Arabidopsis thaliana: one gene and its partner. The protein of the gene in region 2 interacts with the protein of the main gene of each other region in a pairwise test. Each region holds a gene or a part of one and is shown on either strand. Other genes may lie near its edges.

What was found.
Region 1: the proteins of AT4G12100 (region 2) and TGA3 interact in binary tests that used the Arabidopsis thaliana proteins (3 or more experiments, as listed by UniProt).

What each region holds. Positions count from the first base shown.
Region 1 is NC_003070.9:7,787,131-7,792,903, reverse strand, and holds TGA3 (transcription factor TGA3), read right to left. Parts: upstream 3,772-5,773; 5' UTR 3,254-3,771; coding exon 3,248-3,253; intron 2,916-3,247; coding exon 2,715-2,915; intron 2,629-2,714; coding exon 2,542-2,628; intron 2,407-2,541; coding exon 2,347-2,406; intron 2,272-2,346; coding exon 2,194-2,271; intron 2,108-2,193; coding exon 2,044-2,107; intron 1,944-2,043; coding exon 1,672-1,943; intron 1,596-1,671; coding exon 1,362-1,595; intron 1,236-1,361; coding exon 1,083-1,235; 3' UTR 765-1,082; downstream 1-764. Other genes in the region: AT1G22080 (Cysteine proteinases superfamily protein), read left to right, coding at 1-114, 189-276, 492-500.
Region 2 is NC_003075.7:7,245,779-7,250,255, forward strand, and holds AT4G12100 (Cullin family protein), read right to left. Parts: upstream 2,350-4,477; coding exon 2,148-2,349; intron 2,070-2,147; coding exon 1,598-2,069; intron 1,498-1,597; coding exon 1,311-1,497; intron 1,202-1,310; coding exon 812-1,201; intron 729-811; coding exon 675-728; 3' UTR 560-674; downstream 1-559.

The DNA of each region.
Region 1 (5,773 bases), on a different chromosome or scaffold from region 2:
TTTGCCAATCTCTACAGAAGAATGCTCGCAACTAAGCTTTGGATCAAGCCCTTTGAGCAACAACGCAGGAGAGACCTCTGATGTAGCTTCAAAGATGGAACATTCAGATGCTAGGTATTCTGTTACTAGTGATTTCTTTTCCCAAACTATTTATACCATACTTACCAACTGATCATGCTTGCTTGCAGAAGTACCGACTTCTATGGACACTCTATGGGCTCAAGTAATAGCCACAATGCCTTATCACTTGGTGGCCCAAGCAGTTCCATGCCAGAGGTAAATAATCCTTTCTCTTTAAGAAGCACGAGACTGTAATATTTCATCCTCCTAGCTTGTATTTTGTAACAAGGAAGTAGTAGTAAACCGGGTCATGGATACTTTCTTGTTTACATGAAGTACTCTGCTGCCTTTTCCATATGAGTCTTGTGTTCTTCACATTTGGAAGTTGATTTCTTGGTCTATTCTTATGTCTTTTTACTTCTTTTTTCCAGGATGGCTAGTGAAGAAGATTTGAATTTTACAGGAGAGATAAAGAAAGAAAGAGAACTAACCCTTTTTACCCCATTTGTATCACAAAAGGGAAGAAACATGTGTTACCTTTAACTCTTGTCTTTATCTTTCCTCGGTGTGGGCTTTTTTGGCTGAGACCCGTAGGATATTCATTTTAGGCACAATTTGAATGAAGGGAATGATCAAACTCTCTATGAATCTATTTGAATTTATTGTTTGTCTATTGACCAATTTATACCAACAACAAATATAAGCTAAGAACTGTTGGAATAACAATATAGACAAAAAATTTGATTGTGGGCTCAAATTTTCATATACGAGGAGATGAGTGACAACAAACCCTATATATTTTACAAATAAAGAGCCTAATGCATCAAAGACATTACATGTTTTCCACCCAAATTTACACATCTCTTATTCCTTTCAAGTAAACAAAATCATCAATGAGGAAGATGATGCTCTCTAATGGAGAAAATATCAGCCAACACTTTCTGAGAGATAAAGCAAGTCCCTATAGCTAACATCATCTGCCTTGTGCTTCTTTCTCTTTGTTTTGTTTGCCTCCTAACTTGTCAAGTGTGTTCTCGTGGACGAGCTGCCCAGAGAGAACTAAGAGCACGCAGCCTGTGGAAGTATTCTCCTAGAGCGAGCAACCCTCGAGCAGCCTGTCTTGTCGTCAATATCTTACTCATTTGCTGCAGGGTCTGTTGTCTCAGATGATCCGCCTGTTCCAATATTGTCAGAGATTTTGTTTGTGAAATCCATGCTCACAAAGTTTCTAATCAAAAATGAAAATAAACTTTGGATTCATGGAGACTGCAAAAGCACAAAGCAAATACACTTAGCGTTACCTGGTTCACAAAACTCTCCAATGCTTGAAGATTCTCCATGGCTGAAGCCATTGGAGCCCCGTGATTCACAGACTCAACAACTTTTATCTGAATTGCTATGCTTTCGACCAAACCCTGCTGAAGTTTATCTAAGCCTTGAGAGAGAGCCTCCTCTGCTTGCTGAGACGACTGTTGCAGGTTACGCACCTCCAACAGTTGCTGATCGGTTAAGGGCTCAACGTATGGCATCACAACCTAGACAACAAAAAAGGTTGAGCATTTTTTCTCAAGAGTAGAAAGAGAAACGTGTAAAAGTAAAAAAGAAGTTTACATTTAAAAGCTCGGATGGGCGGAAACCTCCAATCCATTGGAAGAAGCGTTCAGTTGAAGTTCGCCACATTCCCGACATCAAGAAGAACACATCAGCCTTTGCAGCATCAGCTTTCATGCGGAAGAGATTTGCGTAGTGGTTCAAGCAACTATCTACCAACATTTTGAGCTCAATGTCACCTATATGAGCTTGGAGCGCTGTTCGAATCTCACTAACTCTCCTGTTTTGCTCTTCTAGCCAGTGTGTGTATTCCATCTCAAATGCAGCAATACCTGAAAATGGTTATTATTGGGAAAATTACTTCTTTATCTACTGAGGATTAAGAGATAAAGCAATGCTAACATATGCTTATTTAGTGATATAAACACCAACCTGAGTTCATATTCCCAGCTGGTCCTAGATAACTAGTATCTGAAGAATTGCGTACGCATAATCCCTAATACAAACCAGAAGAATCACTGAGTCAGAATGAATCAGATAAAGTTTGATGAACACACAACAAATAAACAAGCTTGAGCTAACCTGCTGCCTAGCTCTTACAAGTTCCTGCTCGAGCTGTGACAACTTCAACCGGCTTTCTTCTAACTGTTGAACATGGGCCTACAAGCACAGACACAACTTTGCATAAGCTTTCCTTTTTATCATTAACACAAGAAAAAATCCCACCAAGGTTACCTTCTTTCTCAAACGACTTTTGCGAGCAGCTTCTCGGTTCTGAGCCAAACGCCGTTTCATCTGTTCATAGAGAAGGAACAACAATTCATGTCATCACGCCGTGTCTCTTCCTCTAAAGATTAAAATGGAGAAGGAGGAGTTTATGAAGTCTTCGAAGCAAAAGGTATAAGTAGCCTTAAAATGCTAAAGCCTTACCTTATCATTGATCCGGTCTTCGTCCTGATCATTATTACTCGACGGTTCTGCTTCAAGAGAGTTATTATACACAGAAGTATAATTCACCTGCAACATAATTAACCATCAATCACCAAACAAACAACACTTATAAATCATTCTAAAGCATGATCCAGGAATAAACAATAACTCACTCTATTGTTATCATCTGCTTCTGGTCTAGCATCAACCTCAAGTGTTGTTGAAGAACTCTGATTGTTATTCTGATTACTAGTAATATTGTTGATATCTGATTTGAAAGGACTCTCCCAACCAGATAACTGTTGAAATGGTTCATACATCCCCATGTCTCTGAATGATACAACTTGAGTAGTAGAAGAAGAAGAGCTCATCATCTGTAAATCAACAATTTACAGACTCAAGCTTATTGAATTCAAGAAACAGATTCTCTAGCTCAGCTTTCAATAGATATATAGATCCAGTCCATATCTCTAAAATTGCATTGCTTACTAACACACACAATAAACAAGTAGTTATAGTTTCAGTTTTAGCAATAAAGGTTGAAACTTTAGAAAACCCAGCTCTCCAAAACAGAGCCTTTTGAAGAAACATAGCCAAATAGAGTAATACCCATGAAACTAGAAAGTTGCAACAACTAAAAACCAAAATTGGAAAATTTAAGGACTTCACAAAGCAAGAAAAGATAACATGAGAAACAAAAACCAACCTCCATTGATAAGCAGAGAAGAAATTCATGAGGAGCTCGAGAGATGAAGAATGAATCTTGGCATTCTAAAAGGAATATTCCGATCAAACGGTGACCACAAGAGAGAAGAGAGAAATGAAGAAAAACTTTGGTCAAAACTTAGAGGTGAAGCGTACCCATCATTGAAAAAAAAAAGCAGAGATATTTATTTTTTTATACATATATTTTGTGTTGTTGCTTTTTTTTTTTTCCTCATGGCTTTGATTAGTCCATGAGCGTAGAATAATAAGCAAGTTGAAGTAAACGAACGATGAAACGACAAAAGCATCACCACCGGGAGAAAAACAAATCGAGAGAGATGATAAAAAAGGTTGAGTCTTTTCCTCTATTCCAAAAGTTGACCTTATCGTGCGCCTCTGTTTCTAAACTACACCTTTTGATGACCTGGATTCTTCATCGTCGGCCGACACGTCAGATGCTTGAGGGGAATATTCCGGTAATTTTTATTTTTTAACATAGAGAATCTGAATCTCATATATATAAGATGTGATTTGTTTATGATTTTGTTAGAAAAAAACATACAATATCATATATCAAAACTTAATAGTCGACTTATGATTCACATTATAAAAAGTTGATATATAATATATATATATATATATAGTTTTTAAATTAAAATAGTTATAGTAATGATTTGATCTGAAAATGGATAATTGATATTTGTACCACGAGATTACTACCGATTGGTTAAATATATTTTTTAGTAACGATTTTAAATATAGCTGATAATTTATTTGTATAAATATTTGAATAACTGTGAATTATTTGTTATTCAGAAATTGAATAAACTTTTCCAAGAAATTAGGTCGCATTTTGTGGGACAAGAGTGGAAGATTAATACTTTTAATCAATTTATTAATTTTTATTCGCTTTATTTGGAGGGTCTCAGTGCTATGCAGTGGCATCTTTTAACTTAAGTACTCCTCCTTAGCTTAGTGAGTAATAATTGGGCCTCTAGTGACCTACCCAACTCTAAGAAAATGATTAATTTTGTTATCTTTTTCTTCTTTTGCCTAATACAATATTGATTCTTTAGTTAGTTTGGTGCCACTTGTCTGATAAAATCTGCGTTTCGACAGAGACAAATACGTAAAATAAGTGGGGCTTTTGGTTTGGCTTTAATAAAGATTTCATATACTATAGTTTTCAATCTTTATAAATATGATTCAAAACGTATTGATCAATGACATGCAAAAGGATAAATACCGAAACTAAAATGAATCATTTTGATTTTCTTAAATCTATTAAGTTTTTGTCTTTTTGACGCAACAGCGCAGAAAGGCCTAAAGAGGAAAAGTTGGGCTTAGAGTAAAGCCCATAAAATTTGTCGAATATTCAACACATGGCAAGTGCACGTGAGAAAAAATCTACAGAAGTCTCTGTGCCGCTTTTTAAGGCTTCTCGCCTTGTACAACTTTTTTTTTTTAAAAATGCGCAAGTTTCTTTTCTGTAACGTCACATATTATTTTCGTTAACCCTAATAATTTTGGTGTTTTCTTTATTTTGTTATATAACATGTATAGATTTTAGACCTAAACTTTACCACTTAAAAGAGTGTCTACAATGATAAAAATAATAGATCATAATAAGTTATTTAACTTTAATAATCTAGATGATAGAATTCAATCTTAAGTCTAAAATTTCGTAATAAACCTTTAAATTTTAATACACGATATATTATAATATATTATTATATATTATAATATATTATTATATATACACCCAAAACCGGCTCAATAGAACTGGAATTTTGGTACAAATTTTAAAAATTAGTCTTTTTCAGTATTAATTTTGTTTATACACAATCATTTACTTACATATATATAAACAATAAAATAATATATATATATATATATATATATATATTTATATAAGATAAAAGGATATATAAAAATTTAGACCCTTTAACAACATAATTACAAAAAAATAAGAGTATTTAGGATAAATTGTTTTTTATTAACTTTTTAGCAAGGAAAAACAATTCAATAATTTATATTCTTCATGCATCATATATTTTATGATCGACTGAACAATATCACCATCAACCACTACATGGTTGCAACCAAAGAGGGAGCAACCATGTAGCATTCGACTACCAACAAACAATATCACCATCAACCACCACTACATGGTTGGAACCAAAGAAGGAGTAACCATGTAGCAAACCAACAGTATCACTATCAATCACTACATGGTTGCAACCAAAAAAATAATAACCATATAACATTCGACTACCAACCAACCAACAATATCACCATTAATCATTACATGGTTGCAACAAAAAAAAAGAACAACCATGTAGTATTTTGCCATCAAATAAAAAGACTTTTCACGAATTGTTAATAAAATATATTATATTTATTTTAGACTTGCAAAAGATATCAGTCACTAATTGAAAATAATCATTTTCGCATACAAGAATGTCATTCTTCTTACTTCTTTGCATGCATCAACTTGTCAACTTCATTCAACTATATCCTAAATTGT
Region 2 (4,477 bases):
TTTATTTGAATAATGAGTTTATTTATGTTAACAACCACAAAATTAGATTGCATTTAGTTAGTTAGATTAAAAAAATTAAAATATAGCCGCATTTAACATGTAGATTATCTTGAGTTGATTAAGTTAGTTATTATTTTCAGCTAATTTAGGATTTAAAAAAAAAAAATCTTTGGTTGTTGAAATGTATATTTGTTTGAGCTAATTACAGAATTTAACAATTATTCGCATAAAAGTTATTATTTTATATTTTTTCGATCTCAACTTAAAATCAACAAACAGAGTAATCCAAAACAATCCAAAATCTGAGCAACACATAACAAAAGCAATTAACCAATGCAAAAGCAATTAACGCTAATTCTCCTCAATACCATTATGTAGCTACGCATAACATCCCATCGCTTAAGTATGAGTGAAAACGTCCCACTTTGGTTACAGTGCCAGCAATATACTTCCCAAACTATTAACAAAAGTTTATGTATAAGCTTTCAATTCACTATTCAGTTGAGTATTATCCAATTTCTGATATGGTAACGAAACTCCATTTCCCAACTGGTCAAAAGCTAATTGATAATATATTACTTATATTCTTTAGTATGCTAGTTGAAAAGTCTTACAAGAGATCAATACAGAAACGCAACACACGACCAGACTAACAATTACAACTTCTATTTAGTTTAATCCTCATCATCATCATCATCTATCCACTGCAGTTGATCCGAAAATTCACCCTGTAAAAAGAATCACATATACTTTTTTTATATACACAGTTCAAGAATCAATAAGGGGAGATCAAATAAACAAAAAGTCATACCGGCACATGAAGACCAAAACCCTCAAAACAGTCTCTGATGGTCTTATCCAACAAATCGTCCTGACCAAAGCATTGATGCCATATCTTATCGATGCTAGTATGCAACTCCTGCAAGGAGCCTTCTTGCCTAGCTCCCTCTCCTTTTGCCAAAATGTAGGCTCTCAGAATGCGGTCTATATAATCCTCCGAATCTACCATAGAGAACAAACGATACATTCTTCTAAGGTCATCGATGAGACTCTCATCCATTAATAGCATAAAACCCTCTTCAAGAAAAGAAGAGTGCGCCTCCAGGAGCTGACTCTTTAAGACTTTCATTAGTCGAGACCGGGAAGATGAAAAGAAGAAATAATGCTTATCGCATTTTTCCTCTTCCGCAAGGAAAGTCCTCTGCAACAAACAATCACAGGGAAGAATAGCTTTCATTTTCAGGGTTTAGGAAGGAAAGGCTAAAAAAACAAAATGATAACGCTAAGTTGAGGTCTTGAGATGTATGTACCTCGACATATTTCAAGTAGTGGGAAATGTCGGATCGCTGCAGGACTTGCTCTGCTTCCTCGGCGTAAAACTTAGAAGTGGAATCAAGAAAAGGGTCCTTATACACATATGTACACTGCCACTGCATGCGGAACATGTCCATAAGATTCTTTAGGAGATCACTCGTGTTGTTCGCAGCCTTGCCTAATCTGGTAGACAAACATTAACACAAAATGCAAGGGAAAGAGTGAGTAGATCGAGACTGGAACGGTTAAAGAAAGATGAGACTCCTCTTACTTACATACTAACCTTTCATCAGTGATGAGTCTTAATATGCCGGTAATAACTTGATCTTGAAGTTGAGGGGCCATGGAGAGTTGTTTATGGAAAAGCTTCTGGCCCACGTCCCACAATGTCAAGCCATTAAGAGTCTGATACATGGCTACGTCAGACACAAGACTCATCTTCCTTTTAAAGTCTAGCCAGCGATTGTACACGTGTGGCAAGAACACAGAGGGATCATCACTGCCACTGCAATTCTTTTCTAAAGACTGTATAAGCTCAGCAATGTGAGGCTCACACTCATGCTTGACAAGATTGAAAACCAGTTCTGATTGTCGAGGATCGCCTAAGCAAGCACGCTTAACAGCTCTAAAAATCGTAGTGAAACAGAGAACGTCGCCAGGCTTTTTGTATTCATCATCATCTAAGATGATTTTGATCGCTGGCTTTAGCAAGTCCCAAGCTTTTGCTAAGTATAGTTTGTTTCTGTCTTGTGTATCTAATTTGGATGATATCAAAACATGAGATTTAGAAGATCAATCAACGAGAACACAAAAAAAAAAACATCCCAACGTACCTTTGACAGAATTGGGATCCAAGTTAAAGATAGGAGGAGGCTCCCTCGCCTGGGAGATAGGAAGGCATGAGAGGTTTTCATCGCTTAAGGTAAAAGGAAGACGATAAGGATTGCCCTCTGCTCCTCCATCATCCGGTGAGTGGTGAACGAGTTTCGGCGACTTCGTTGAGGAAAAAGGGTCGGGGCTGATCGAGCGTTTCATGATAATCCAATTCTGAAGAAAAATGAATCGATAGACAACACTGATCAATTCGCAATCGTATAGTATTCAGTCTCAAGGAATAAAATCGGAGAAACGTAACCCTAACCCTATGGAGAAACAATTCTAGTAATTAACAAAATTTGGAGGACTTTATTATTTAAAAAGATGATTATGATATTTATTTATTTACTTAATATTTTTGTTTCCAGAAAATAGGATGAATTAAAATCTCCTTCTCAAATGAAAATTATCCACTGCTCTTGATCCGAAACTTCTAATAATCACCTCTCCACGCATTTGTCAAGTTAGTTTAATCCTCATCATCATATATCCACTGCTCTTGATCCGAAAATTCATCCTGTAAAATGAATCATATACACTTTTTTATATACACGGTTCAAGAATCAATATGAGGAATCACATTTAAAAAAAAAAGTCATATTGGCACATGAAGACGACCCAAACCCTCAAAACAATCTCTGATGGTCTTATCCAATAAATCATCATCATCAAAGCATTGATGTCATATCTTATCAATGCTAGTATGCAACTCATGCAAGGAGCCTTCTTGGACACCCAAGAATTTTAGTTAATTTGTTGCCATTAACACATATTAAAAACAAATATATCAAAATATATTTTCCACACTAACTATTTATAATCTAAAGATTTATTTTACGTATAAAGTAGGATTTTTGATGACAAAAAAAAAAGTATAAAGTAGGGTTTTAGGGCCTGACTGGTTTAAACGCAGCGGGTGCAGTTGCGGTTGCGGGAGTTTGCGAAAACGGGCAGTTGCGGTTTCAAGCGTTATCAAGCGTTTTGAACGACTGGTTGAACGTTTGATAATGGGTGCGTTTGCGGGAGTTTTATGACTGGTAAACCAGCGGGTGTGATAGTAATTAAACAAAAATAAACCAAAATAAATATAATATATTACTATTAAAAGAAAGAAAAAATACAATATATTATTATGATAAATTCATAATATTAGAAAAATTAAACATAATTAATAATTAAAACCATAAATAAAACATTAAATTCAAAAATAAATAAATTTTGTAAGAAAAAGTTTAATACTTTATGCATTTGGTACATTACCAAAAATTGCATCAAATAGTGTGATAAACTGTAAATAACGTTGAACTCGCGGGTTTTCCGGATTGCCTCTATATAATAAAGTTTCTTCAAGATATCCAAACGATTTTTAACACATCTCCAACTAAATTTTTTTCCAAACTGGTCGTGAATGGATGAACGGATAGATCATACTTACGTTTGATTCTTGATTTTGATTTTAATTTTCATCCGTTTGGGTGGATGCCATAATTGAGAGAATAGAGTTACAATATATTGATTAGGGTTTTCTAACAAGAATAAGATATATAGGGTTTGGGTGGAAGATATAATTATTTTAATTAATTATAAAAAATAAATTTTTGTTGTAACTTAACCGCTACCGCCCGCAACCGCAAACGCTTGCGGGAAGGAGCTTTTGAGATCTGACGATTTCGAGCGGTCCAAAGCGGTATCTAGCGGTTTTTATGATTGGTGCCAATCGCTAACAACCGCTACCACCCGCAAACGCTGCGTTTGCGGGTGGCAGAGGGAGAACCAATCAAGCCCTTAGTTATTATAAAAAGGACAGTTTCTATATGTTAATAGATTGAGCTGTGGCCCAATAACAATAAGAAGTGTTCAAACAAGTTAGAGAAAAATCCACAACACTCAAACATTATTGGTGTTGACAATTGAATAATGGGTTCAAACTTAATTGCTCTAACAAAAATGAACTACAAATTATTGTTCATATAATTAAATATGAATTTTAACTGGTGTCAGTTGACCCCATATCCTACAACATAGGTCTGTAAGTGTTTGGCCTTTATGTGTTAGAGTGAATGATTTTTTAGATAAAGAAAGCATTTTGAAAAGATGGAATCTATCATGATCGATATGAATTTCTTATACTTGAGAAATTTTCACCTTAACAAACTAGAATCAAAGCCAAGCGCATGATATAATCTGTATATTAGTTTTATGAGAGTTTTTCTTTATTGTCCATGTATTCACTATATTTTGTATATTTTTTTCATTTCTTTTGTTTTTAAATTTTTGATTATTCTCT